Rhinolophus ferrumequinum: one gene and its partners. The protein of the gene in region 2 interacts with the protein of the main gene of each other region in a pairwise test. Links are inferred from orthologs where the notes say so. Each region holds a gene or a part of one and is shown on either strand. Other genes may lie near its edges. The genes, in order: ZBTB16, LDOC1, LATS1 and AP1M1.

Region 1 (7,073 bases), on a different chromosome or scaffold from region 2:
CGCATCACTTGTAGTGGGAATTTTGCTGCTTTAATGCATGCATACTATATGGAAACCGCACCCCTTGACAGCTGCAAAATTTTAGTTTTGAAATGGAGGCCCTCTTTCTCAGAACAAAGCAGATTTCCAGAATCACCCCAAACTATTCAATGTTGGCGCTGGGCCTGTATGTTTGTGCTTATGTGTATCCAAAAGGGAAAAATGCCTTTCTCTTATGCGTAGATGCTCTTTCAAAGACAACACATTAAGACATGATGCCCAACAGCTGACAGCAATGGTTGCTATGTCTCACCCCAAAGCTTTGTGAGGAATCCCATAAAACCTGGCACATGGTTTGTGACACCCAGTGAAACACTGTGCTTCTTCCATAATAACCTGAGCCCTGCTGCCTGTCATTAAGGGACCTCTCTTATTAAGCATCTCTTTTTAAATGGCTGCCATCATCTGGTCCCAGTGTACATTAAATCCCATTATAATTATAAACACGCTTTCCCATAACATCCGTTGCAGATTTCATCCACACTGCCTACCCCCTCAGGGCATCTTTGCACTAATAACAACTCAGATTTGCTATTTGAGTTGACAACATTCGGTCCCAACACCATTTGCAATATGCTGGGGGAAGAGAGTAGAAAAAGCTTTCTCTTCTTCAATCATGAAGATTTTGGGGTCCTAGTGACTGAAGACCTCAGCGGCTAAAATAAATAACCTCTCTTCTTCTCCCTTTGAAAAGTCACTTTCTGCCCTACAGATGAGAGGAAGGGCATACACAGAACCTGGAAGAGAAGCCCAAGTGTGTAAATGCCACTAACCAGGACTCCACGGGGATGGGGGTGGAGAGGTAGCAATTAGTAGTCAAAAAAGCCATCCTCTTATTTGGTTTTCTCAGGTTCAAGTAACCAGAATCCACATATCACTTGATTATTTCCCCCCTCTGTTTTTTGGAGCAGGCATCTAAAGAAGGGACGTGATAGAATTAAATGTAAAAAAAAAAAAAAAAAAAAAGGCAAACCAAAGAAAACTATCAATATATACACTGAGGGCAAATTCGACTCTGCCTAATTTTTGACATCATCTGCATCTAGCTAGTAGATATCTGCAATAATGACCTTGAAGCATTGTAAGATCCTTTGCCACTAGAAAAGGGCACAACATGTTTGCTATTATCTTCCCCCAGGGGTCTCCAGTGGGGTAAAGATCTGAGAGTGACAGCCTGGTGCAGCCTCCAGTAGCAACCTGGAGTTGTCAATTGCAGTGGAGACTACTTTTTCCTTTCAGGGGCTTCACTGCCTGCACCTCTCCCTGAAAACACTTAATTCCCCATTCATCACAAGATTTTGGGGAAATGCAAAGTAGCTTCTTCTCCTAAAGGTAGGAGTCCTTGACTTATCTATCATGATAGGAAAGTTTACCTTTACAATTTAAAACTATTTTTCAAATAAGGAGTTGGAACAAAATGAGTTGCAACATTCCATTAACAATCAGAGTAGTCAAAACAACACTATAACCTTCTTCCTGGGCATCTGTTTAGTTGAAGTTTTACTGTAATTCAAAACTCCCTCCTCCACTTTTGCCTGAGATTTTGAGGAAGGAAGGAAAGTGCAGAGATTCTGGGGGCTCTAAGTCTATTTACCTGGTGGTTTGATTCAGTGGATAACTGTTTGGGCTTCAGCTTGGTGGCTGCTGCACAGAAGATGAGTAATAAGTGGAGTAAGATGAAAAGTAAAATTAAAATCCTTTGTTTCCCTTTTCTATCTTGCTAGAGGCTGTATAATTTGCAGGTTAAGATCAGGAGCTTTGTAGTTGGAATGGTCTGATTTAAAGTCTCAGCTCTGATGTTTAATAGTTCTGCAAACTTGGATAAGATACTTAATGTCTCTGAGCCTTTTTTCTCATCTGCAGAAATGGGGAAAATAATAGTACCTGTATCAATAGGATTGTTACAAGGACTAAATAAAACAACATAGGTAATGTGTTAAGATTCATAGTCAGTATTCAGAATGAGGTATTATTCCCACTGTCCCCTTCCTGTAAGATATCTTAGTCCTGATAAACCATCCTCTTCCACAAACTGAGCTCTGAAAGGCTGCTACCAGTGGGAGGTGTATGAATAAAAGTGATGAGGGAATAAGAAGATTTAGCAATGGAATTCCATCCACAGGTCAACTCATCTCTTCCCTTGTCTCCAGCATGACCTCCCTCAGGCTGAGGTCTCTTCTATTTTTAGGGACTGGTCAGAACTGATGTCCCCGCTTCCCTTACCACCCCTTTCAAGAAAAAAGTAAAAAGAAATTACAAATATACGAACATGAGAGAGACAGAGACAGAGAGAGAGAAAGAGAGTTTTCTCTTGTAATTTTCCATCCTGCTTGTTTTTAGGTGATGCCATATGAAATCTCTGAACTGGGGATTCTCATCAGCGTTCCAGGGACCCAAGGACATAGCTGTGGCTATAAATGGTGCCAGTTTTGGTGGTAGAGCTGCTGCCGCTTTATCTGGACCCAATAAACCTTATCAAACTGCCTTGCAGCCAGCCTTCAGCGCTAAGTGGAAATGCTTGGAACCCAATGCTGGCACTCAGCCCACAGCCTCGCCTGCCTTCCTCCTTTTGTTACCTTCTCCACCTCTTAAATTCAGACATTAATCTCTCTTTAACACTTACTAACAAGGGCTGGGCTTTTTAATAGGCAGAGTTTATGAAGCAAGGGAGATTTTCACATAGAGTATGGCATGGAAGGTGGGGGAGTCCAGGGCCATTGAGGAACTGTTCTTTCTCTCCCATTGTTTCCAAAGATTCCCTTTTTCTAACTTAAGGATTAATAGAAGATTAGGATCAAGGGCTAATTTGTGCTTCAGCTACTGCGCTGGGGAGGGACTGGTAGTGGATATGGACTGCAAGGCAGCAACCTTCAGCAGGTACCGCCTGGACAGAAGTGCAACAAGTTTAATGATTCTTCTATTGCCTTGGTGAGGCATGGGGGGGGGGGGTGTCTTTTCTCCTCTTCTGGCATCCTTCCCTTCTTCATCTCTTTCCAGACCAGTTTTCTTCACTTTCTTGAAATCCCTTTCATCTTACAGACCACGAAGACCCTAGCTAGAAAAATCGTCTATAATGGGGATTCCTCTTTATTGTTAAGCACAAGGCATCCCCAGGGCTTGGGCTTTCCCATGCCTGGGCAGGTGTTGCTGTGTACTCTATTAGAGGATAACGTTCTTCCTTCACCTGGGAGTGCGCTTCTCTGCCCTCTGCTGTCCTCTCCCCAGCACTTTCCCTGGGAGTAGGAGACAAGAGCGACACTTGCTGGGATGGAATTGCCTGTCTTTGAGACTACCCCATTAGCAGCTCTTGTGAACCCAGAACAGTTATGATTTGTAAACTCTGCCTCCTAGTGTTTTGCACCCCGAAGAGGATTTTTTGTCTCTACTTGGCTTCTGCCACCTTCCATAACCCTACAGTTCTTGGGGCCTGACTGTCCGTCTGGGCAGTGCGGAGGCACCGAGGCACACATGGGGATGTGATTATACGGAAGTCTTGTGGAAAAACTTTGACCGACCCGCTTGTCAGCGGCAGAATGTGGAGACTCAAGACTCCGTGATTGAAGCGCCGCGTTGCTAAGACTGCATGACCTCTGGGGCTGACTGTCCTGAGACCCAGGGATGGAGCTCTCCACCCCACTCTCCTTAGCGTTAGTCGGGCACCACGGCCTGCCTGCACGCAGAAAAGCGCTTGCCACCTCTTGCCCCCTACCTTCGCCAGGCTCAGGGAGAAGGCAGGGGGAGAAGGGGACTCTCTAAGGGGACTCTCGACCGCCTGAGGAAGGGCAGATTTCTTTTGGTTGCTCTACCTCCGGGTTAGTGATAAGTCTACCCTCTAAAGTGGAGCGACCAGTTGAGAAGAGGAAACACTTTGGGGGGCCTTCAAGCTTTCACCGTCCCCTGAAGCCTGCGCTGAGCAGGACGCAGTCCTTGGGAACTCTTTCCAACCGGGTTCCTTGGCGGGGGGGGGGGGGGGGGGGGGGCAAAGAAGAGGGCATGCTCAAGTCTGAGAGGGAGAAGAGTTTCTCTCAGGCCTCGACCTCAACCCCCAGGGGTCTGATAGCTGAAATGGGACGTCCACCTCCAACGTCAGATCCCCGCGGACCCTCTGGCACTTGGTTCACCACGGTCAGCGAAATCTGCGTCTGGAGACTTCTCGCAATCCGGCTGCTCATCGCCCGGAGGCACACCGCAGCCGGGAGGCACAGAAGGCCTGGGCTGGGGCTGGGAAAGCAACCTTCTAAAACCGACGTCGAAGTACAGGGGATGCAGTCCCCAGCCCGGAGCAAAAGTGAAAGGCGAGAGGACACACACTGAATTGGGACAAACAGTGAAGTCAGGGACAAAACTCCGCGCCTGGAGAAGCTGGGGGAAACAAAACCCGTGTCCAGTGGAAATTAAAAACCTCGGGGTTGAAGGTGGAGGCTGATCCCCGCACCTCACCTCCACTGCCCCCACTAGGCTTCCGAGTCCCTGGCTTTCCTCTCCACGATCTCCTTTCCTCTCCGCTAGGCGGGTGAGCGGCGGCCGCCAGCGCCCCAGCAGCAGCTAGATGTCAGGCGAAGCCCGGAGCGCCGCGCGCGGGTAAGGGAGGGGAGGGGAGAGAGAGGGAGGGAGCGAAGGGAGGGGAGGGGTGGGGCGGGGAGCGCGCGCCGGCTTGGCCAGTGCGGGGGGGGAAGGGTGGGCGGGCTGAGCTCGGGGACGGCACGGGAGGGGGGAGCGAAGGGGGGCAGCTGTGGGCAAGGAGCCCGGCTCGGCCGCCAGCACTAAAGATGGAGAGGCGCCGGGGCCTCGTAGGGGAGGGGGCTCGGCGTTGACGTGAGACGCGGCGGAGGCGCCGAAGCCGGTGGTGATTTGCTAACCTCGCAGCAGAGAGGAGTTGAGGGCGATGAGAGCGGGTACTGCGAACTGCCGGGCGATGCCGCCGCTGCCGCCGTGATACCGAGAGCAACAGTTCCCCAGCAACACCCTTCCCCGACACTGGCACACACCCCCCAAGAGGCACGCACACCCACCCCACAGCGCCCGGCTTGGCAGCGGTGAGTGAGGGGCTAGGGAGGGGCGCACCGCCCAGCGAGAGACGCGCGCCAGGGCGCCCCTGAGGCTGAAGAGGTCTGGGGGCGCCCTCGCTTCAGCCACTCGGCCGCTGAGCTTGTGCCTGATTTTATTCGGCTTGTTCCCTTCCTGCTGCTGCAGCCGTCGCCACCGCCGGTTGGGGGTCGACTAGAAGGGGGAGCCCTGGCTGTCAGCTTGGGCACAGCTGCTACCCCAACCCTTCCGCACCCGGGCACGGTCGGGGTGAGAGGTAGGGGCAGAGCGGTGTGTGGGGGCTGAGGGCGCGAGCGGAGGGTTGGGGATCGGGAGGCTTTGTACCGCCGGGGGCCGGCGGAGGAGCCGGGAGCGGGTGGGTGCTCATATGTATGCGGACCGGTGCGCGGTCGCGAGATAGGGTTGTGGTTTGTGTGTTTATTCGCCGGCCGGCTGGGAAGCCAGAATCGGGATCCGTGGAGTGGATCTGGGGGCGGAGGAGAGCAGGAGTGGGACTCACTTGGGTGTTGTTTTTCTTCGTAAAAACGTGGTGAGCCCTTTTTTCCTTGGTTGGACTTGATTCCCCCTGTTTAGGGGGGAGGGCGGCCGTGGCGGAGCTCCGGAGGGTCTTCAGGGCTCCGGGCCCTCCTCGGCTCTCGGCGGGACCGGCCGTGGCGCCGGAGCTCGCTGTGCGCTTCCGGCCGTACTCGGTGGGTGTCCCAGCTTTGCACCTGATGCGTTCGGGATGCCTTTCCCACCCCGGCGCACCGGCGGCTCGCACGCGCAGCCCCTGGAACACTCCCGCAAGCGCTCAAAATGCGCACGGTTTCGCTGGCCCGCCGACCCGCTGGAACGCACAGACGCACTGTGCAACGACTCACTCGTCCGCTCCACGGGACGCGCGCACCGTGCCTGGGCCGGGCAAGGCGGCTGCTGGAGGCTCCAGCCCCGCGCGGCCTGTGACCCTGCCCGTCGCTCCCGGGGATCACGGCCCTGGGTCGGACAGGGAAGGCTGGCGGATCCCTTCTTGCCTTTCCTCCCACAACTCTCTCCTTTGCTCCCACAACTCTCGGTCCGGCTTTTGTGCTTTCCCTTCGCTGCGGGGTGGGTCCGCCTCCTAGCCGCTCTTGCCCCGGCATCCAGCCCGCCCGGACTCTTGCTTTTCGTCCGGGTCTCTTTCGCTTTTCCTCTTCCCTAGCCCGGCTCCCGTTCCTTCTGCTGTCTGGTTCCCCGGGAAAAGTTGCTTCCCCAAGTTTGCCGAACACGTTTCCAACTCTTTGTGGGGGTGGCTGGGAACTAGGGGTGTGTGAGAGCGCGATCGATCCCCGGAGCTCGAGCGGGTTAGCGCCGGCTTTTCACCGCGGCGCAGGGCTGGGCGCTGCAGTCAGCGCCGGCCTGAGATCGCGGGCGCTGAGAGGCGAGTCGGGGGGGACGGCTGACCGAGGGCACCCTGATTTCCCTCAGGACCCAAGGAGCTTTCTTGTGGGAAGGAATTCGGGTAGCCCAGCTTCCATTCTTTCGATTGCTCCCTCCTAGTTTTCTGAAACCCTGAAGTCTGCGGGAAAGCGCATAGTGGTTAAGCAGGGATGAATGGCCATCCCATCCTTGATGGCCTTAGTCCCCACTCCAGGCTGGGCAGCAAAAGTGTCTTGATTAGCAGTCCTGTTAACCCTTTCTGCATGAGATTTGTGGCTCTGGAACCCATAAGGCTCCTTCTGGGGGCTTAGGCAAGTTGTTTTGGAAGAGTGAAGGAGAACCCCTGCTTTGCTTTGCTCCTAGGTCATTTTACTGAAATACTGGTCACAGCAAGGCAGAGGCTGGGAAGGACGTGGCCTGTGAAGTCTTTTTAACACTCTTTAAACAGTTCAGAGTCCCAGGCCCTGTTACTGATCCTGAACTGCGCCCTGGGAGCGGCCTTTGTTTCGCAGCCCTGTCTTCCCTTCATACTGGTTGTAACTCATACCATAGAGGCTGGTGCCAATATTGCTTCTAGCACCTCCAAGCCATGT
Region 2 (6,743 bases):
TTGTTGGTGGCACCAATATGGGTATGTCCACTTGGATACAGCCACTCACACAGTGAAACAGATATGCACACACAGGTGCTCTCACCTTAGAGTTCCTCGCAGGACAGAAGTACTTGGACTATAACTCAATTGTACCCTCAGGATGTTAATTCATGGAGGTGATTGAATGACAATATGGAGCAGCCAGTGCCTCTGAAGGAAGCTTTTTTGTTATATTTCCTGAGGAGAGAGGGCGTGCCATATCATGCAGGGCCACAGAGGGAAGCATCAGATTTTAGTCAGGAGATAGAAAGGAGTAGGGGGAAGACATACGCCAGAGCCAATATTGGAGTTTCCACAGGAAAGAATAGGCAAGACTGGGGAAACAGTTTAAGATTAGCTAGTTTAAATCATTCCAGGAACTCTGGGGCAGAGTGGCTGACCCTAGTTGTCTGGTACTTGGCCCTGGGTTGATTTAGGGCAGGGGAAGTATTGACTGGATATGTGAGAATTAGATAAAGAACATGTTTTCAGACTAAGGGCTGTGGATCACAGGGGAGATTTAAACCACTTTGGCCATTAATTTGGCCCTGTAATTAATAGACACCAAATAGACAAATACAGAGGCTAAGAAACAGAACAGGACCATGGATTCATCACATCATATCAGATCTTTCGATGTGGGACTATGCTTTTATCTGTAGCATATCATGAGTGTCTTCATGTTTCAGTTCTCTACTGTCATGAAACAAATGATCCCAAAATTTTGTGCCATTTTATTTGCTCATGATTCTGTTGATTTGGAATTCGTGTAGGGCTTAGCCAGATGTTTTTTTGCCTCTCTATGTAGTCAGCTGGAGTCATTTAGTCAGCTTCATTCAGGCAGTGATTCTGCTGGCCTGGAAAGTCCAAGGAGGCCCTTCATTCTCATGTTTGTTTGCTGCTTCGCTCTTCCTCCACATGACCTCTCTTTATCCATGTGGCTAACTTGAGCTTCTTCACAGCATGGCGGTCTCGGGGCAATTAGACTTCTTATCTGGTGGCTGGCTCTGAGTAGGGAATATTCCAAGTGGCAAACACAGACTCTTCAGATCTTTAAGGCCTTGCTTCATAAGTTATAAGTTACTTCCATCATCCTTTATTTGTCAAATCAAGTCACAGAGCCAGCCCAGATTAAACAGGCAGGGAACATTGTTTCTACCTCTTAATGGACTAAGTGGCAAAGAATCTGTGGTTATCTTCAATTCTCCACACTCATTCTGCCTCCTAAAAACTTTAATGTAGATCAAAGTAAATGGCCCATTTGAAAGACAGGCCTAGTCTACATTTAAAACCAAACAAGTAAACACAAATTATGACAGGCCGCTCTTAATATCTCTAACAACAGATTTAACATGATGCCAGATACTTTCTAAAACATATGAAAATACCAGAAACAAACCAAGTGCATAAGCTCTTGTATGTTCAAAGTGACGAATTATATTGAAATAACTAGGAATGAGAACAACAATTTGTATAATAGTAGTATAATATACTATAGGCAATAAATTCTATTTTATAGTAATATAAAAACATATACATGAATACAAATTAATAATAAGACATTAGTTCATGAAAATCATCATTCAGTTATAGAAATCTGATTTCCCAGTTCCATATCTCTGGGACTGTGAGTATATTTGGCACCATCCGTCTCCTACTTCATCTGAGAAACTGAACAGAATATTATAATATTATATTAGACCCGGTCTTATGTTATATTAAGACCCGGTCTTATATTAATTTTTGCTCCAAAGGACGCATTAGAACTGATTGTCCGGCTAGGTCTTATTTTTGGGGAAACACGGTATCTCTGTGTCTCCTGACATGTAAGGTTTGACACATATATGTGTTAGCAAAACTATGTATATTAGGATTCTGCAAACATTTTATATGTATATACATATATATGTATATCTTTATCCATTCATTTGTTGGTGGACACTTTGATTGTTTCCATATATGTCTATTGTGAATAACGCTGCGGGATCAAAGAGGCAGCCCAAGTCAATCGCTAGAACCGTGTGGACAACAGGAAGTGTGTTCCTGAGAGTAGAACTCTGGGCATCTTTTCCTGTAGTAGGGTCTGGACATGGAAAGTGGAGCTGGATACTCACTGCTGCCCAAAGCAGGTCCACCTTCCACCCTGAGCTGTGAATGGACAGCATGGCCAGAAACCTACCACTGACATTTCCTGTGCCTGTATTTCATCCACTGAACATTTATGGAGCACCCAATAAACACTTTCAGATGCTGAAGGTCAAAGGATGAGTGAGAGAGGGTCCCTGCTTGGCCTCCAGGGGCTTCTCATATAGTGGAGGAACTCATATGACAGGCGAGCCCAAGGGCTCATATTCCTTCCCACCTGCTCTTTTCCCCGCCCACCGAATCAGCAGCCTGATCCTTCCTCCTCTCCTTATTGGACCTTGGCCCTGTTTCTCTCCTTTCTCTCAGCCTCTTATTTCCATGAATGCCCATTCAATTAAATTTGATTGTGAAAGGACTGAAGAGGGTTTTTCAAAAAATTACTTAGCCATTTTTATTATGTCAGTCATCATTTCACAATGGAGACTGATTCTTGATCATAGATAGAACATACCAGACAGTTTGAAGAGTATTTTTGGACACTATGCAGCCACCCCTTCTAAATCTTATTTCAACATTATCTGCACCCTGGGATTCTTTCATTCACCACACATTTATGGAGCTTCTACTCTGGGCCAAGCATTTTTCCAGGCATTAGGAATACAGCAGCTAACAAAGCAAATTGTCCACATAGACTTACATTCTAAAGTGGAGGCAGACTGACGAACAAAGTAATATATGACATGATGGCTGCTAATGAAAGGGTGAAATTCAGTGAATCAATAATGTAGTTACACTTAGCTAGTTTGCAGTTAGGTCCATCCTGACATTCAGCTGTTTTCTCTGTTTCTCCGCTCACTGACTGACTTAAAAACTCTGTTTTGTTCCCTTTCTCAAGGCTACCCATACCTCATTAATCCATTTACTCAACAGAATCCTAACCTGAAAAGAGCGATTTCTTAATCCTCAGGCGCCTGGACACTGGAATCCGTTTTGCAACTCCCTTGCAGTTTTTACTGGTGACACATAAAGCCCCAGGCCATGGTGGCCAAGTCCGGAGATAACATTATCTTAAAACAGACCAGACCCCATGAACTGAGGACAGTCCTGGGACCTGATTGACCCACCCGGCCTTTCCTTTGTTCTTCTCGTGTTCCTATAAAACCTTCTGACCGGTCTAGGAGCGAGGAGATGGACTTTGGACAGGAGTCCGCCATCATCCCAGAATGCTGGCATTCTGAATAAACCTGCTTTTCTTTTCACCAACCTTGTCTCTCCATGTTTAACTTTTTCAAGCGGCAGGCAGCCGGTCCTTAGCACGGTATCGCTAGTCTGATAAATGCCATGTAAAGAAATGAAGCATGGTGAGGGGTTAGAGATTACTGGTAGAGAGCAGGGTGCTAGATGAGGTGGTCAGGAGAGTCCTCTCCAAAAACATTAGGAGGTGGAGTCAGGCAGCTAACAGGGGAGAGCCTTTGCAAGGCAGAAATGATAGGAAGTGCAAAGATCCTGAGGCCAGAGCTACTTGATGCGTATGAAAATCAGTAAGGGGGACAATATGATTAGAACAGAGCAGGGAATGGGAAAAGGCACAGAGGGTGATGCAGGGCCTTGACTGCTATGACCCAGATTTTGCTTCTTCTTTTGAGTGAGAAGAAAAAACCGTTGGAGGGTTTTGCACAGGGAAAACTTTTGTTCTAAAGAATTCCTGTACCTACACTGTGGAGAATACATACACTGGAGGAAGAGAAGAGTGAAAGCTAAGAGATTAGTTGCAGCAATCCAGGTGAGAAAGGAAGGCTGGGATCAGGGTGGTAGCGGTAGAAGTGACACGAAGTGATTGAATTGGGGATCTCTTTTAAAAGCAGAGCCCACAGACAAAGTTGGCTCTAAGGTCTTGGACACAACTCAGTTGTCAACAACTATTGGAGTAATCACATTCAAAGTAGAAAAACAAAACCATTTAAAAACACAAGTCTTCATTGTTAAGCAAAGAATAATACCCAGTGGCCAAGGGACACTAATATTATGAAGTGAAATAGTCAAAGATAGCAGGATGCCTGCATATGTTTGTCGGATAATTTTGCAGAACTTTTTATACTTCGCTATTTAGAAAAATAATAATGAAAAACGACAGATACACAATATTATTTCCCAACTAAAGAACAATCCCTGTTTAAATAATATTTTGTCTGAAAGACAGGACTCCTGAGGGTCTTTCATTACTCGGAAAGAATGTGTGACTCCCGCGTTGCGGCCAGCAGTGCTAATAGCTGTCTGGATGGATGAAGTTTAAATAAGCAAGAAAATGTGTTAATAAACATCATACAAATGGAATCTAATGGCCACAGGCCCAGTAAGGAACATTGAATTGGGTGACTCAGCTGGGATGAAGGGTGGTTAACCCTTTAAACTTGAGCAGGTTGGCCCTCTGTGAGAGACGGGTCTTAGGGCTCGCTGTGTCCTGGCTAATGCCTGTCCCACATACCCTGCCTTTATCCGCCCGCCGTCAGACCTACCAGCCCTGGGCCCCGGGAACCTGCCCGCCCCTCCCCTGGCCACGCCCTCCGTGGTCACGTCGCCGCGGCCCTGCCCACCCCCTCTGACCCCGCCCCCACGCAGCGCCAGTGTCTTCTCTGGACACGCCCCCCCTCCTCCCTGGGCCGCGCTGGCGCGGGGGCCGCGCCCGCGGCTTTGTGGGCGGGTCTTGCGCAGCCGCCGGGACCCCTGCGTGCACGGCTCTCCACCCCTGGCCACCCGCGCCTCCGCGGACACGCACTTCCTGCGAGGCCTCCCTGCGCACCTTAGGCGAGCCGAACCCAGCCGAGCCCAGCCGTGCCTTTCCAAGCGGTTCGCCATGGTGGACGAGCTGGTGCTGCTGCTGCACGCGCTCCTGGTGCGGCACCGCGCCCTGAGCATCGAGAACAGCCAGCTCATGGAACAGCTGCGGCTGCTGGTGTGCGAGAGGGCCACCCTGCTGCGCCAGGTACGTCCGCCGAGCTGCCCGGTGCCCTTCCCCGAAACGTTTAACGGCGAGAGCTCCCGGCTCCCCGAGTTTATCGTGCAGACGGCGTCTTACATGCTTGTCAACGAGAACCGGTTCTGCAACGACGCTATGAAGGTGGCGTTCCTAATCAGCCTGCTCACCGGGGAAGCCGAGGAGTGGGTGGTGCCCTACATTGAGATGGATAGCCCCCTCCTAAGTGATTACAGGGCCTTCCTCGAGGAGATGAAACAGTGTTTTGGCTGGGATGACGACGAAGAAGACGACGATGATGACGAAGAAGAAGATGATTACTAGGCCTGGAGACCCTCGGGCCTAAGGGGGAAGGGCTCTGCACGCCGCCACCTCCCTCCCCTCCTTCCTGCCCCTCCCGGAGCCACCGTACTCCCCCTAATCCTCCGATCTTCTTCCCTCCCCCAACCTCTGGTCCTCTCCCTCATCCCCCGGAGTGCTTGTCTTTGTTCCAGAAATTGTGCTCCAATTACGTGCTGGGGCTGGGGGTTTGCTCTGAAGCGCGCTGCCACCCACTCTGGCCAGCCCTGGGAAGCACCCCTGCAAATGTGGACTGTGTCCTGAGCCCCAGCGCTAAGGCAGGTCCCTGTTACCAACTGGTCAGATTATGCACTGCCCTGCCAACTGCCAGGCCAACATCTGCCCAGAGAACTACGCTGCCACGACACCACCATCCACCACGTTCTTGCGACTGACCACCGCCTTTGGAGATAAGGACCAACCTACAGGATGCCTGAGTTGGCTACAGCTCCTTGGACATTTATTTGGACAGCTCACAACCCCCGAAGGGGCCAGTCTTTCGACCTGGTTAGTTCCCTACCTATTTCCAGAGTCCTCCCCTACACCACCAGATTGCTGCAGGGGCCTAGTGTGCCTGGCAGCCAAATTGTTGACATTTCTTTTCTCCTATGCACTACTTTTGCACAGCTGTCATTTTCTTTAAAAATTGCAGCAGTCTCAAAAGAAAAACAGGCACTCAGCCAAGCTTCTCAATACTACCTGGAAAAAGCACTTGCGTTCTTTTCAATAAATATCAAGCACTACGAAAAAAACAAAAGGAGTGTCTTTTAATGGTTAAGTGCTATCACTGGCCCCTACCACTTTCACTCGGCCTCCCAGTATTCCCACTGAGATCAGGTAACTTAGTTCAATCCCAGAATTCCCCACTGTCATCTCTAGGCTACAGAGGACAGCTACCATAGGGCTTTATAGGGATTCTGGTGCTCCCCCTACTAAGGCATTTCTTAAAGCCCTGGTGAAGGGAGTGTCCTCTGGGGCCTCCAGGGTGGCATGGGGTAAGGGTGGCCAAGCGGGTAGCACACCATCTCTAACTGGGACACTTGGGAGTGAAAGGGGGCACTATTAATAATTAGGCTGGGACACCAGGCATGAATCTGGACACATACAATGTTCCTATCTTCCTGAGCCTTTGGATTCTTTCCTCAACCCTGCCAGGGAAATTCGGCCCCTTAATCCTTACTGCCTGTGGGGTGCTGTGGAATTCAGGCTTTAATTAACAATGGAGCACAGTATTATCATGCCCCTTTCAGGTGCTTGAGCTAACATTACATTCTGGATCCTGAGTAAGTGCACCTTGCTAAATAGAGCCTGATCTTAACATTTT
Region 3 (8,076 bases), on a different chromosome or scaffold from region 2:
TTCCTAAGAGCAGGGATCAGGACTCACTCATTCTTTGAACGAACAATGAAATTGGTTAGACTAAACAGACAAAACCTACATTTCTTTGAAAGTTCAGACTTTCATCAAATGACAACAAATGTCAGTAAATCCAAAGAAATACTGTTGATATCTTGTCCAACCTAGGAAAACACATTTCAGAGTGTTATCTTGGGTTGAATTAGGTTTATAAAAAAGATGGCCTGTCTCAACGCTCTGACTAAATCAGTTATGAGAATAGCAACAGTAACATGTACTGTTTCTTTCTTAGCAGCAGTCTTAGTTGTTTAGACAGCAATAATCAAGAATCTCTGTATGATGATATATCCTTCAATTCGCTTTCTAAGAATTAACTCATCAAAAGTGAAGACAATCAGTGTTATTTTATCTACATGCTGAAAAATGACTGTCATGTCTATGTGACAAAAATGTTGCTCAATGACTAAATAACTTTTGTGGTCTACAAAAATCCCCCACTAATCTAAACCTAACATCTAAAGTGAAAACCAAATAACCAGAATTGGAACTGTTCCAAGGCTATACATATTTATATAAAACATCAAGGAATAGCATTAAAAACAAAAACCAAAAAATAAAAACTCAAACTACAGAAGTAAATCCAGATGATATCATACCCAAAAAAATGTAGCAGAAATTTTTTATTTGCTTTTAGGGAGTGGCATGGCATGTTCAATAACTATTTAGCCATAGAAAGACTGCACCTTTCCAGCATGTACCATGATCTAGTTTCTTGCAGTAGCAGCTGATCAGAGGAACACAATGCTACTTCTTTTACTGTTAAATCAGTCAAATTCCTCCACTGCCTTAGGGAATCAACTAGCCCATTTTACCTGTCTGTCAACTTACTAAAGGAAAGAAATAACCTTAGTTAAATCACAATGTAGATATCTTAGCAGAGAACACTCATTGTAATTACAACGAACAATTATATTCTTACCTTTTCTTCCTCATGGAGGAAATTTGATAAAAAATTTTAAATCTTCAATAAATAATCCACAAAGCCCTGACAAGCTTCCTGATTCCAGACATTCAAATCCACTTCCCAAACTGGAGTGGCACAGTATTATTTGTGTGTGCGACTATATTTCTTACTAGGTTTATGAATAACTTCTACGTGATGACATATATTTTAAGTCATATTAACATATGGGTTGACAAACTATTAAATTTTGTTCCTTTAAAAAATAACTTTCAATTAAAAAAGTCAGAGAATGGGGTTAAATCAAGTCACCTGAGAGGCATTTTTTAAGATACAAATTCTTCTTGAAGCTGTAATAAATAATGTTCCCTTAATTTTCCTTTCTTCATTTTCTGTATTTATATACACACTCCTTCCTACTCCATAAAGAGCCCTCCCTCTCTCCCACCCCTTCCAACTATGAACAGTAACCTAACATTACAGTGGACTGTACATAGAAATTCCTAGGATTTCTTCAAGGTATATTCAGGACCGACCGGGTCCCTCTGGTTGCAAAGAACTGTAGCTCTTTCACTGCAATTCTCCTTCAGAACCACCTTTCGCTTTCCTTCCTTCCTAAACACCGTTGATCCCTGCGTGCTGCGGACGGGGATGGAGGTGGCAGACAGTCGCCACAAAGCCTTCAGCAAGGCAGGCTCTTTCCAGCTTAACCTGCACCTCCAAGGCCGCAAAGCCTGGGGTTATTCCTCCAGCCCCCGGCACGGCCAACCCTCGCTTCCCCAGGGCAGGGCTCCTCTCAGGTCCATGCAATCAGCCAACTCAGGCCCGCACCGGGCCGAGCCGGCCCGCCAGTCGCAGCAGCCCCTGGAGCCCAGCCAGCCGGGATGGGCGTGGGCCCCGGCGGCCACCGCCCCGCCAACTCGGCCTCCGAAGGAGAGATGCGCCCCACCCGTTACGCTAGCCCCGGACCTACCAGCAACGGAGTGCGGGATTCCTGGACAGCGGCCACGGGCCGGAGGGCGGGCGCCAAGGCGGCCGGAGTCCCTCCCAGGGACCCCAAGTATCCTCGGTGGGGCAGGGCGGGGAGAGAGGCCGGGGGGCTGCCACAGGCCAGCGCAGCCCGTCGCGAGGGTCGCGGGGACCTGGCTCTCCCCTTAGCACTAGGCCGCCGCCGCCGCCGCCATTTTGCCTTCCACTCGGTGTCGCTGCCGCCGCACTCCGCTGCAGGTTTCCCGGATGTGGGCATTTCCCGGCGTCGCTTGCGCGGGGGCCCGAGGACTGGGGGCTTCTGCCCGCCCGGCCGCCTGGAGAGCGCCGCCTGCGGTCTCTTGCCCTCCACCCGCTGCCCTCTCTGCGAGTTCGCCAGCGTCTCCCCGCGTCGCCCCCGCCTCACGCTGCCCAGGTGACTCGCCCCGGTTCGTGGGACCAAGCTCTCGCCCGCTGAAGCCCACGCATGTACTTCAGTCTTTTTTTCAAGTGAGCTCTTTCAATGGACAGATATGGAATAAAGATGCGCCTCTCAAAGAAGCTTAATTCTCAGAAGGAAACAGCAATGATTTGCTCTCTGAAACTTCGCTGTGGACGTAAAGGTTCAGGATTTCTGGCAGCTTTGAAATAAATTGATTTTTGCTTAGCACGCTTTCCCCCAGTAAATCCGTGACTTTAAGTATTTTCTGAGTCAGCCAGATAATTTTGAACCAAGAAAGAGTAACAGAGTTTAAAGATTTTTATCTGTCAACCAAATCGGTAGAAGAGAAAGTCACTATTGCGATAACTGTAATAACGGTGACTGAAATAGAGGTTTTGTTTTTTGTTAAATTGAATTGGAAATTTAGGATGGAATCATTGGGTTTATGATGTTTGTAAAGAGCACCTTGGCCAATTCTGCCTCTTGAAAATGTATGCAGTTGGTATTTCCAAATACCCCCGTTCATTATTTTCCTACTAGAGTCTATTAATTTTTTTTTTACTTAATGACTTCTTTTTCTGATGTTAAATTAGTTACTGGCTACTGTATCCAGAAGTTCAAATATGAAAACCTCTATTAAAAAGATTACATTCTAAATATTACCATTTGCAATGATATGGATGGACCTAGAGAACATTATGTTAAGTGAAATAAGCCACACGAAGACAGACAAATACCATATGATCTCACTTATATGTGGAATCTAAAGAATAGATAAATGAACAAAACAAACAGAAACAGTGTCAGAGATATAGAGGAAAAACAGGGTTGCTAGCTGGTAGGGGGTGGGGATGAGGGAGAAGGTGAGGGGATTAGAAAGCACAGTCATTAACCACAAGGTGGCCACAGGGATATGAAAGACAGTTTGGGGAATATAATTAATAATATCATAAAGATTTTATAGGGTATCCGATGGACACTTGTCTTATTAAGGAGACCACTTCATGGACAGTGGAGGTGCCTGACCACTGCAGTGTACACCTGAAGCTGAATAATAATGAATCTCAACTATAATTTAATACATATATGTATATATAGTCACAGGATGTGGAGTACAGCATAAGGAATAGAGTCAGTGGAACTGTAACAGCTATATACGATGTCAGAGGGGTAGTAGATTAGGGAAGGGGGTTATCACTTTGTGGGGTATAAATGTCTAACTATTACACTGTTTTGTACACCTGAAACTATTAATAATAATAAAAAAAGATTACATTCTAAGAGCACTTGATTGAAACTCTGTTCCACAAGCAGAGTTTGTAGGAAATAGAGAATATGAACCAAGGTCACTTAAAAGTCCTAGGTATAACTTGCTTCAATGGGAGAACTAAGTAACCTCGAGGGTCCCTTTCAGCCTCAAAATTATATAAATGATCTGAATCTAATAAATTCACAGTCCTGATTGCCCTTTCCAGGATTATGTATCTGGAATAGCATCCTACCTCCAGAGGGTCATCATCTCTATCACCAACCCATTGAACTTCCTCACTGAAGTTTCTCAATTCTCTCTAAGCATAAAGGTGAGTAGCTCCACAGGCCACCATGTACGGGAAAATTCCTAGATAATTCAAGGAGCTCTGTGAATTGTGCTTTCTAAGACTAGGAGATTTACTTCTGTGAAGTAGGGGGACAAAAGGGCCGGGAAGGGAGAGGAGTGATCAGGAGAGAACTAACCTACAAGATTTGAAAAGGGTCTGAGACTGCAGGTGGGGGTGGAGGTGGAGGTGGAGGTGAAAGACCAGGGAAATGCTTACTAGGGGTGCTGGATATCTGAGAATGGCAATATCTGCCATTGTATTTGAAGGTCTTTGTATTGCTGTGATGGAAAACCGTTGATCCAGCTTCAGCTTTCTCAGCTCCTCAGTGCTTCATGGAAGTGGCATTTCTTGGTTTCATTGTATTTTTACCAACATTATGTAGGGACCAAATTTCATGCTCGGATGAATGGAGGAATGGAGGAGCAGCACACACGGAAGAAGTCTGGAGACTATTGGTAGCCCTGACAGCATTAGCCCTCCCAAGAATTCATACAATCTTAGGGGAAGGCTCTAGACTATGAGCAGCCCACACCGAAGGAGAAGAGTGCTGTATTCTGCTGCCTCTTTGATGGCAGAGAATCTACATAAATTATTTGGAATTCTGAGATTTGTCTCCGCCCCCATTCATTCAAGCGTTTATATCAATGTGGACTCATGGATATTTATACTTTGGATATTTTATTTATTTTGTTGATCAAATTGTTCCACCTTGGTTATTGGGAGCTCTTCCGGTTGGCTTCTGTGTCCCTTTGATATATTCCCATTATTGTGGGCTTTTTATTTTTTTTAGAACTTCCTTATTTTCTGGCACTACAAGATGCTTCAGGCTATCTTGTGTATATCCTACCCCTTTAAGGAGCCCTGGTTCCTTTTACTGGAGAAGGGCATTAGAAACCAAATCTGGTTTCTAGGTGTGCTCATTGTTACTAGTGTATCATTGCTTATAGGACCTGAATGGCAGAGATTTTAAATTTAAGTTCATTCCATACTATCCAGGGGTAAAAACTGTTGTGATTTGTTGCAGCTATTATTTTACAGACTAGTGTTTTTAAAAGATTTGTATTAAAAATACAGCTAACATACAATATTATAAGAGTTTCAGGTGTACACAATAGTTATTCAACATTTATATACCTAAAGAAGTGATCACTATTATAAGCCCATCTGACATCATACCACGCTATCACAATATTATTAACTATATTCCCTATGCTGTACATTACATCTCCATGACTTATTTGTTTTATAACTGGAAATTTGGACCTCTTATACCCTTTCACCGTTCCCCCTTTTAAATTTTCCAATTACAGTTCACCTTCAATATTATATTAACTCAGGTGTATAGCGTATTGATTAGACATTCATATAATTTAAGAAGTGATCCTCCTGACTAGTACCCACCTGGCACTATACATAGTTATTATCATATTATCGACTATATTCCCTATGCTGTACTTTACATCTGAGCTCACGAGACCAATCAGATTCAGATTTGGCTGTAATTGTAGGGGGCAGGCTCAATACAGGAAAGATGGCACCCGCCTTCTGGCGGCACGGGAGGCCTCCTCACAGGGAAAATGACTGTCCTTCAACCCTTGCCCTGAGGCCACACACCTCATTCTGCCCCCCGTATGGCTCTGATGCCCCCCAAGTCATTGTCCCTCCTCTGGAGCCCAAGGTAAGTGCCTATGAGTGAGTGAGTCTGTGTGAGGGCCATTTAAGAGGAAATCTGGGTTTCCTGAAGACTTACATCCCACCCAGATGGTCGGAATCCCCATTGTTTTCTACAGCCAGATGTTGTGGAGGCTCCTCCTCCCGGCAACAGTACTCGGGCTGTGGAGGGCGGCGTGGGGCTGTGGTCTCTTGCTTCTCCAGGGGGAACCTTCACAGCTGTGATATCCCTTTTGATTCCCAACCACTACATACAGGTGTGGGGCCTGTTCCACATCTCCACCCCTCCTACCAGTTTCCACGGGCTTCTTTATATCCTTAGTTATAAAACTTCTGTTCAGCCAGACTTCAGATTGTTCTGCAGGTTGAGTGTTCTATAATTTAGTTGTAATTTTAATGTGTTCACAGAAGGAAGCAGGCACGGTGTTGACCTACTTATGCCATCTTGTCTCTTATATTCTAGTATTACAGTTTAACTTCATATAGCCATGGCCTGCACAAAAATTGTTTTGACAGTGAATGCATTTCTGATGGCTTTGTTAGGCTGGTCTGTCAGCTACTTTCCCCCAAAGTCCACTCATGACAGTTTGGAACTGAACATTAGTTTATTTTTCATTAATTAAAAACATTTAAGTGATCAGCTAGATTTTAGTCATTCGACTTCTCTCTTCTCACCATGCCCATCCCTTCATTTTTTTCTTCCATGTACACCTCTAGTATAGTGAAACGTTGTTGGGAATTGTTTTGATGCTAGGATGACTAGTCACAGATGTAGCTGTTAGTTCTTCTACACCGCCATTTAATTAATCGTAGTTAAGAATGACGTCAATGAAATAGTTCAAATAGTTGCGTGTCATAGTTTAGATCTCCCTGGGTTTCACATCTGGAAAACAAGAGCACTGCTACTGCTTCATCGAATTAGTCTGAGCTACATATGACATTGATACTGTAAGCTTAAATGAAGTCTTGATAAACACCGTACACTGGTGAACTCAGTATGCTTCTTGGACAAGAATCTAGAATGGATTATTAAAAGGTTATTTCCATAATACTATGGTATTTTCACAAAGGACAAGGAATTTTTAAATTAGGCCAATTTTTTTGATAGGATGATAGCTACAGCATAGATGTTTTCTCACAGTAAGCCTTGTGAACAAGATAAATGGGGCAGAATGTCAATAAATTAGGTTGGTTTATAAATATTTCAGTGACTGTAGCCAAATACCAATGATTCATGTATCACTGGTAATTGAGAGGACTCTTAAGAGTAGGCATAAGCACTTTAGTCCATTTAACCTATCTCCTAACCAGTGGGATGAGAATGCAGAAAGCGTGATGAGCAATTTTGAAAATAATTAGCTCTTACAGAAAAGATTGAAAAGAGATGGCTAATTATTTTCTATACAAAAATAAAATTTGTCTTCTTGGAGCAGGAAAGATGGACCTATAGTAAAGGATCAAAACCATGTGCATTAACTCAAGAATATGGGAAGTATGGCTTAGGAGTATCATGTCTGATAATTTACGGGTTTAAGTCCAACTAGTTCAGCAGTCTAACTGAACAAGTATCAGAATTGTTAAAATCAGCTAAGACAGTTTTACAGAAGATATGGTGCCCAGAATCAGGATGGTAAGATTTCTGTCATACTCTCAGCAAGTCAGACACCACCTGGAAAATTGTTCATTTTGGAAGTCATACTTTAAAGATGGACTTTGGCAAATGGCAGTATTTTTTTAAAGGGAAAACAAGATTGAGTTCAGTTCAGTTTGCACTGAGTTAGTGCTTACTTGGATCAGATACTGCATTAAATAGTTACTATAACACTAAGACATGGGCCCTGTTCTTGAGCTTGTGGTCCAGTAGAGGGAGGCAGGCTGTTTAACACACTGCTAGAAGCACAATAGAGCTCTACACAGTGGGCTTTTGAAGTGGGCAATCGGTACAATACAGCCCAGATTGTCTGAGGCCAACGAAGGCTTTCTTGAGAAAACAGGAGTCCAGAAGGGTAAGCAAGATTTAGCCAAGAAGGGGCAAGAAAGGCTGGGAAGGAAATGTTGCTCACAAGAAACCATTAAAAAGACGGATTAAAAAGTTTTACCCCAAAGAGTCTACGATATATAGTTTGGAATATGTGAATGTTTTTTGTGGCTTCTGAGGAAAAAAGACAAATGGAAGCATATTTCAGTTTAGCATATGAAAATTCATTTATTTAGTGAAACCTTACGGTAAAGTACCCCAACATAATGCAAATTAGGTAAATTGGCTGTCTCATAGTAGGTTCACATCATTTTATTAACACACGATTAACATCATTCTACCTTTTTATACAGGGATGTTTTGAGTCCCACTCAAACACTAAAATCTTGCCATAATGCTCTATCAACTAGAGCTGTCCAAATGAGGCGAGATCGCACTGGGAAGGGGGAAACTTTGTCACAGC
Region 4 (7,734 bases), on a different chromosome or scaffold from region 2:
TCTTAGCCAGGTACGTTCAGGTGTTGGGAATGAGGGGTGGGACAGGTTGTGGTGATGCTGGATGCATAGTCCAGAGTCACTTGTGAAGGGGATTTGGATCTTGCAGCCCTCCTGGCAGTGTCACTCAAGCATCTACTATGTGCCAGGTCCTTTCCTCATTTTTCATCCTTCCTCAAACCCCATCTGGGACTTTTTTTTCCTGCAAAATGAGATTTCTGTCAATTGCCCAAGGAAGCAGGAAGCACTTGTACAGCTCCCAGCAGAGTCTAGTCGGTGCTAGTACATTTCCTGCCACTCAGACCAAAGGGCAGCTGACCTGGGTTTCTGGGGGAATGTGTTGTAGCCAAAGGTCTGGTCTGTCGGACCAGCCTGAGTGCAGCGGAGGGAACTGAGACCTCCAGCTGTTTTAGGTGTGAGAACCAGGCCGGCTAGGGCTCGCATCTTCCATCTTGTGCTGGTCTGGGCTGTATTGAACACATGACTCACCTGCATTTCTCTCCTCTTTTCAGCAAATGGAAAGGATCCTGAAGAAAGCATCCAAAACCCACAAGCAAAGAGTTGAGGTAAGTCACGTGCCCAGTGCTGAAGGCTGAACCATGTAAGTCCCAGCTGGGCCCAGGCAGAGGATCCGATGGAATGTCAGCCAGGAGGGGGTTTACCCAACCTCTTTGGGGTCCTTGAAGAGAGATGCCAGCGTTCTGACTGCGATAAGGCCTGGCAGGGTGGCTCTGAGAGGAGAGGGCTCACCGAGGGGAGGCAGGGTGTGGAGTAGTGCGGGTGGTAGTGCTCCATATCGCTGCGTGGTGCTGTGCTGATGCGGGCTTTCTCTTCGGCTTCCCTAGGACTTTAACAGACACTTGGATACGCTCACAGAGCACTATGACATTCCCAAAGTCAGCTGGACGAAGTAGCCTCCCCACCTGGGCTATGGAGTGACACCTTGGGGAAACAAGGTCAAGTTGGGTTCTATTTGGTGCCTTTGGTATTTTTTAGAAACATTCTTTTATACACACCATGGCGTCTCCTGCTGAGACAGTGCTTTTCAAAGCAGTGTGCCCTCATTCTGGAACTTGATTAAAGTAAGACTATCCTTTTGGTCTATGTTAGTTTCTCAAGAGCACATTGAAGATGAAACTTTGTAGTTTGGACTGGAAATTATTGAGAATTTACCCAGAGATTAAGGTTATTTCTGTTGCATCTAACTCATTTTGACATCCAGCCAGCTATCTTTGCCTGGATGAAACTGACTTCAGAGGAGAAGGAGCTGCAACGTGCAGACTCGCATGGAGCCCTGCATGTGGGGCCCGGCATATGTTGCCCTTTTGAGCTCCCTCTAGCTTGGGGCTTATGCTGTTCCATCCAGGGCCCAGGGAAGCCACTTGCAGCTTGGTGGCCTTCAGATTGCTTCCTCAGCCACCTGGCCAGGGAGAATAACCACCCAAGGCAAGGATGGAACAAATGCCTTGTCCCTTTCTGAGCTGAGCTGGTGGCTGGCATGCAGCCTGTTCCCCCAGTATCCCCATTCCAGACATGTCCAGTGGGTGTTGCCATGGCAGACATTGCCAATCGAGTACCATATTCTTTGTAATGGAACCCGGACACTGCCTGCCTCACTACCCTCAACCCTGGGCTCCAAGTAGCCCCGTTTATTCATAGTTGGCACATACATAATACCTATGTGGCATTCCTGGCCTAAGGACACCTCTTGGTGACGGGACCAGGGCAGAGCCTTAGCACAGACAGACATGGGTGCATTCAAAGGGGAGGACCCAACTTCCAGTGCTGGAGAGCCAGGATCTGTGAGGGACTGTATGTCCCCACTGCATGAGAATCAGACTGCATATGCTCCTGGGACAAATGGTCTCTGTTGATAATAGATCTAAAAGAATAACAAAGTCAGAAGAGAAAATCTGAAGTATTGGTTTTGCAGCTCTAACATGTGAACTGCAGAATAAAACAAAAACCAGTTATTAAATATAAGTCTGAGTGTCTTAATTATAGGCTGTTTATCACTAGAAACACTGCCTTTGAATTTATTGCACATGAAAAATATGCGTACTACAAAACCACTGTTTGCCCTCAATTTGGAGAAAATTGGATGACATGTTTCCACCTGTGGTTCGAAACCCACCTAAAAGACATGACATACTCTCATTAGCAGTGGGTCCTTTGGGCAGACTCCCCCATTGCCTCGTGGAAAGTCATATTCAGATCTTTTCTGTTCATGAGCCAGCAGTCGGGGTCTGTGAGCATGACGTGCTGTGGAAAGTCAGTATGGTAGAAGATAAATATTCCAATTCTCCCTGCCTAACAAACCGCTCCAAAACGGGTGTAGTTTAAAAACCATAGGATTTCTCTCTTCACTATTCTGTGGGTTGGTTGTGCTCAGCCAAGTGGTTCTTCTGCTCCATGTGGAGTTTAGTTCATTTGTGTAGCTGGGTCGACTTGCCCAGAGCCAGAAAGTCCAAGATGGCATCTCATTCTCCAGAATCTCTCCCCACACAGGCTATTTCATTGCTCAACCCAAGTCACATCAAACTCAGTCTGGGCGGGAACTACTCTAGGGCATGAACAACAGGAGACATGGTTTATTGGGAGCCATCACTGTTACAGCCTACCACAGTGGCTCTCAAATTCGGATATGTTAGACTTGGGGAGCATTAAAAACCACTGACACTGCCTGGAGTGGGGTTCAGTCATTGAGAGTTTTCAGAGCTCCCCAGGTGACCCTAATATACAGCAAACTTTGAGAAACCCTGATCTACCACAGTAAAGTCTTTTCTGAGATGTTGCAGAGGCTAAATCTGGCTTATACATTAAATATAAATGCCAAGGGTGAAATTCAGATGTGGCTCTGAATTTCCCCACATAAGGAGCAAAGGACGTTACAAGTAATTTATGTGTGAAGTGTTTACTGTGACAGTCCTCTTGGCATGTAGGAGTCTGATTCCTCAAAAGACGTTTGTCCACCCAGCCCCTGTGATACCTAGTATTAAATATCTAAACGCCCAGAGCAAGCTTGAAAATGTTCCATAATGAGAGACGTCTCCTCTCCTGGCTGGTTTTTCTTTTTGCCTTATAGGTTTTGGCTTTTTAATTAAAAACAGACATGATTTTCTAACATTGCCATAAATTGAGCAAAGTATGAGGGTAGGTGCAATAGGGTTTCTTACAAGAAAACTGTCAAAATGTCTATCTTGACTGCTTTGTGCTAGAATGCTTCCATCCCACGATTTAGTTAGCAGTGCTCCAATATTCCAGTGTTCTTGTCTGGATTTTCCTGCACTTTCATCTCTATCCTAAGCAGAGGACATATTGCAAAAGCCACCTTTCAAAACCCCAGACAGAGATAGGAGGGAAGATCAAAAGAGAGTAAATTGTTCTGATATTGCAGGGTTGAGATCCCCAAGGCACTGTGATGGCTCATTGGCACAGAATGTAGGCATTTCTCCACAGCCCAAATGTTCATGAAAGCAAATGAGATACCATTCAATTGATTAATCAGGGTTCACAATTTGCATTACCCACAACTGAAGCAGGGCCTGGTTGGGACCTCTGTAATAGAGGCCTTGCAACGTCCCACCTTTCCTTGACCTATATATAGCTTAAAAATAGATCATCCCCCTGCAGCTTGAGCTCAGAAAGTACCCTGTCCCACCCAGTTCCCTCCCTGTTTTAGAAAATTACCCTGAAATTTAGGATTAATACCCTTAGGCTTATTGATAACATTCTCAATGGTCTACCGGGCTACTCCCATCTTTTTTCCTACGTTGCTGAGTCCGCCACCAGAGAATCATGTTGCCAGAGGGAAGGCTTCCTGCAGACCCCCAGAACTTTCACATAATCTCTAGAGGAACGCCCAGATTTTCTCTTAAATACCCCAAGCTGGTCTGAGAATATTAAGGCAATTTTTGGAGGTGTTAACCCGCTGTCTTCTCAGACCACCAGGGCTCTGATAATAAATGCTTATTCCATGACCCAACTCCTGTGTCGGTCTAGTGGTTGAGCGAGCCGTGCACGCAGCTGGAGTCCTGAACTCGGTTGGCCCTGGGTCTCTCGGAGGCACTCTGAGTTCAAGCCGCAGAGGGAAGCCAGCCAGGAGGGGGGCAGGGCATCCCGGAGGCATTCTGAGTACTGGGGGCCCAGCTGGGCCCTGCTTCACCACCAGTGGGCACTAATTACAGAAATAAAACCCGTGGTTTTCAGATCATTCCAGGCAATAAACAGGCTCGCCTGCTCACGAATGTTGACAGTGACAGGTGACGCTGTTCACTTAGCTCCTGTTGATAAGGGTTGATTGCTATTCAGAGTTGTTTGCCCTCTTTCCAAGGAACCACCACCTTACTCCTCCCCATAAACCGTATCACAATTGGTGACTGCATATTAATTTTTTTCATACACTCCTCCACCAGAATAGGAGTTTCACAGGCCTGGGCCCCATGTAGGATCAACCACCGGGACCTCTCACCTAACTTGGTTCACACGAGAGGGTTTCCAGCTTTCAAGGCTTCGTCGCCCAGCTGGGTAGTTAGAGGGTGCCCTGTATCAGTGAGCTGCAACAACCCCGACGCTATGCGTCTTACTTCCGGGATGCTTTCCGAGCGGAAAATAACGTCACATAGGGCGTACTACGCCTGCGCACATTCCGCCCTGCGCCTGCGCATTCCTAGTAGCTCCTCCCTCGACCGGACATAACGGTCCGCGCGCGGCTCCCCGGACCGGAAGTGGAGTCGAACCGTCGCGGGGCGTGCCTGGCCTTCCTCAACGCCCGGCAGTCCCCGCTGTCGCCGCCGCCCTCGGCTATTGCCGAGGCTTCCCGCAGCCGCCATGTCCGCCAGTGCTGTCTACGTGCTGGACCTGAAGGGCAAGGTACGGAGGGCTCCCCACCCTCCCCGTTGCCAGGCTGCCGGCGGGGACCTCGCCCTTGGGGACCCACCCTGTTGCTAGGCAGCCGGTCAATGGGACCCACCCTGGTCCTAAGCAAAGAGACCGATAGGTCTCACCTGAGGGTCCCATCCTGTTGCTGGGTTGCCAGGCTGCGGTCTCTGGTCTACGAGACCTGCCTTGTTGCTAGGTAACCGGCCGCACGACCCCGCTCCCCCTGTGGGCCGGAAGCTCAGGCCTCCTTGGGGGCTGCGGAGACGGCGAGCAGCATCCAGCTTCTAAGCCAGGCCTTCCGGAGGCAGCGGCTCCCCGACCCTTGGCCGGACGGAGGTGGCAAGGCGTGTCGGGGCCAGTGTGCCCTCTGGGAGCACAGCCGCTTCTGTTTATCTGGTTATTTCTCTGTGCTGGTCTGTATGAATTTCTTAACGTTCGTTGTGACATTAATTTACAAAGGTTAGGTGAGGTGGGTGGTGGGCGAGCCATTTTACAGGAGAGAGAAACTGAGGCATGAAGAGGTTCCATAACCCGCCTAAGGTCGTACCCGTCACAGAGATGTGGCAGGTTTAGGAGTCGAACCCAGAATGATTTGTTCATTCAGCTGTTAATTTGAGGAGCACCTCCTAGGTGCCAGGCAGGGTGCTAACTCTTAGGCCATTTTGAGCAAAATCCGAGTCAGGTGCTGTCCCTCTGGAGCTCCCAGTCTGGCGAGGGAGAGGCACACTGATCTAAAAAGCACAAATAAATGTAAATTGCAATGATTTTGCAGTGAAGATACAATAGGGAGAGTCAGCCTCAGCTGGTGGTCAGGGAGGGCTTCCTGGAGGGAGTGATAAATCAGACTGAGATATGAAGGAGGAGTTGAGCATAACTAGGGCTCTTGAAGCCTTTCAGAAATTGGTTGTTGCCTTTCCTGGATGGAAGGCAAGTGAATGTCTGGCCTCTTACAACTGGGAGCAATGAGAACAGGTCCAGCTACATTAAACCTTAAGTCCCACATCGATCAGTGAGAGAACTTACTGGGTGTTGGGCTTAGGGGGGGCAGGCAGGAGTTAGCTCAGAAGCAGGGGGGAGTCAAGTTGGAAGTGGCTGTCCCTTCCTGCCCGACTCCCCACCCCCAGTACTTTCCCAGAGTCCCTTGAGTAGGTTGCCTGCCTTGGATGCCACCCAGAGTCAACAGCCTGTGAGTCCCAGTGTTGGGCTTCCGTCCATGGCCTTAGAGGCAAAGAACGATACAAGGTGCGCAAGGTGGGTGCAGTGTTTCCTGAGTCCTGGTAGCACATGTTCTTGCTTCCACTGTGGCCACCATGTCCCAAGAGGTCCCACAGGCTTCCTGTCACAGCTCACTTGTTCCTTCAACAAACATTTCAGCAGCACCCAGCATGTACCAAGCCCTGTGCTGACTATCTCACTGTTACTATGGAGTTAGGGCTGAGGTCAAAACTCATCTCTGCTGCTCAGTGATGTGACCTTGGGCAAGTGCCTTCACCCCTCTGAGCCCACTGTCCTTGCAAGTTCCCCTGGGCCTGGAGGTCTGGCAGGGGGGTACATGGATCCAGATGGTCAGATCCAATTAGTCACATGGGCATGAACAAAGCCCCAGGTTATATAATTACCTAACCTCAGTTTTGGTTGGAGAGGTGGTTACAAAATGCTTCCTGGAAAAGCTGGAAAGGTGATCAGGTGGCAGTCAGGTGGACAGGTAGGAGTTGCAATGGGCCCAAGGGGCAAGGAGCAGCTGAAAGTCCTGGGTAACACGAGCCTGGAGGGTGGTGCCAGGAGGACTGGCCGTTGAAGATGTCCAGACAGGAGTGAGGTCCATAAGGGGCCATTTTGATCCCAGGAAGGAGGAGCCACCAAAAGAAGATTATAGCCCAGGAGAAGCATGGCCAGTCGGCCTTGAGGGACGCTCCCGAGCAGCCACGGGCTTCCTTCCCATTTTCAGCAACCGTCACGTCATTTATTATTCCACTCCCCATTCCCCACGGAGCTCGTGTTTTGGAAGTTTGCCTCTAGCGCAGACTTCATTTAATCCAAAATAAGGTCATGGCACATGAAGAAATACATGACCATGTGTCTATCTGCCAACCAGAGCCTCTGATCACCAGGGAATCCAGTGTGGCCACACTTAGCTGATAGAAAGCTCTCCCCTTACTTTCCTTGCTTCTCTGCAGCTTCTGACACCACTCCCACTGTCAGGGCTTCCGCTGGCTCCAGGTGGCTGCACTCTGTTTGCCTCCTGTTTCTCTCAGCGGTTGCAGGTCCCTTCTCCCCTGGAGATGTTGGCCTATCAGGCTGGGGCCTACGTATAGCTCCTGTACTGTCTTTTCCTCAGACTGGCTTTGATTCATGTCAGTGTGCCAGTGACTCAAATTTGTACCACAGTCCAGAGCACTTATCTGGAGACCCACTGGCCTCTGGGACACAGTGGAGGTCCCACAACCACTGCAAACTTGGCATTTCCCAAAATGAACTCCCGCCACCCCCCCCAAAGCTGCTCGCTCTCCATTTCAGTGAGTGACACTGCCATCTATGGGACTGCCTGCATTAGAGACCTGGCCATTAGCCTGGCCTCCTTTTCATCACTTTTTTTTTTTTTTAAAGATTTTATTGGGGAAGGGGAACAGGACTTTATTGGGGAACAGTGTGTACTTCCAGGATTTTTTCCAAGTCAAGTTGTTGTCCTTTCAGTCTTAGTTGTGGAGGGCGCAGCTTAGCTCCAGGTCCAGTTGCCGTTGTTAGTTGCAGGGGGCACAGCCCACCATCCCTTGCGGGAGTTGAACTGGCAACCTTGTGGTTGAGAGCCCACTGGCCCATGTGGTAATTGAACTGAGCACCAACCGCCTGAGCCAC

The links.
Region 1: the proteins of LDOC1 (region 2) and ZBTB16 interact in binary tests that used the Homo sapiens proteins (3 or more experiments, as listed by UniProt). The two-hybrid records come from large-scale screens. The link is inferred for Rhinolophus ferrumequinum from reciprocal best matches to the Homo sapiens genes LDOC1 and ZBTB16.
Region 3: the proteins of LDOC1 (region 2) and LATS1 interact in a two-hybrid assay, tested with the Homo sapiens proteins (2 studies listed by BioGRID and IntAct). The two-hybrid records come from large-scale screens. The link is inferred for Rhinolophus ferrumequinum from reciprocal best matches to the Homo sapiens genes LDOC1 and LATS1.
Region 4: the proteins of LDOC1 (region 2) and AP1M1 interact in binary tests that used the Homo sapiens proteins (3 or more experiments, as listed by UniProt). The two-hybrid records come from large-scale screens. The link is inferred for Rhinolophus ferrumequinum from reciprocal best matches to the Homo sapiens genes LDOC1 and AP1M1.

Annotation. Positions count from the first base shown.
Region 1 is NC_046294.1:83,543,881-83,550,953, forward strand, and holds the start of ZBTB16 (zinc finger and BTB domain-containing protein 16), read left to right. Parts: upstream 1-4,071; 5' UTR 4,072-4,620; intron 4,621-4,749; exon of another isoform or gene 4,750-5,075; intron 5,076-5,186; exon of another isoform or gene 5,187-5,341; intron 5,342-7,073. UniProt on the Homo sapiens protein: Acts as a transcriptional repressor. Transcriptional repression may be mediated through recruitment of histone deacetylases to target promoters. May play a role in myeloid maturation and in the development and/or maintenance of other differentiated tissues.
Region 2 is NC_046284.1:15,202,786-15,209,528, reverse strand, and holds LDOC1 (protein LDOC1), read left to right. Parts: upstream 1-4,761; 5' UTR 4,762-4,960; coding exon 4,961-5,404; 3' UTR 5,405-6,194; downstream 6,195-6,743. UniProt on the Homo sapiens protein: May have an important role in the development and/or progression of some cancers.
Region 3 is NC_046286.1:93,093,513-93,101,588, forward strand, and holds the start of LATS1 (serine/threonine-protein kinase LATS1), read right to left. Parts: upstream 3,017-8,076; 5' UTR 1,932-3,016; intron 1-1,931. UniProt on the Homo sapiens protein: Negative regulator of YAP1 in the Hippo signaling pathway that plays a pivotal role in organ size control and tumor suppression by restricting proliferation and promoting apoptosis.
Region 4 is NC_046301.1:49,788,615-49,796,348, forward strand, and holds the start of AP1M1 (AP-1 complex subunit mu-1), read left to right. Parts: upstream 1-4,699; 5' UTR 4,700-4,827; coding exon 4,828-4,869; intron 4,870-7,734. Other genes in the region: protein FAM32A, read left to right, coding at 510-563, 843-911. UniProt on the Homo sapiens protein: Subunit of clathrin-associated adaptor protein complex 1 that plays a role in protein sorting in the trans-Golgi network (TGN) and endosomes.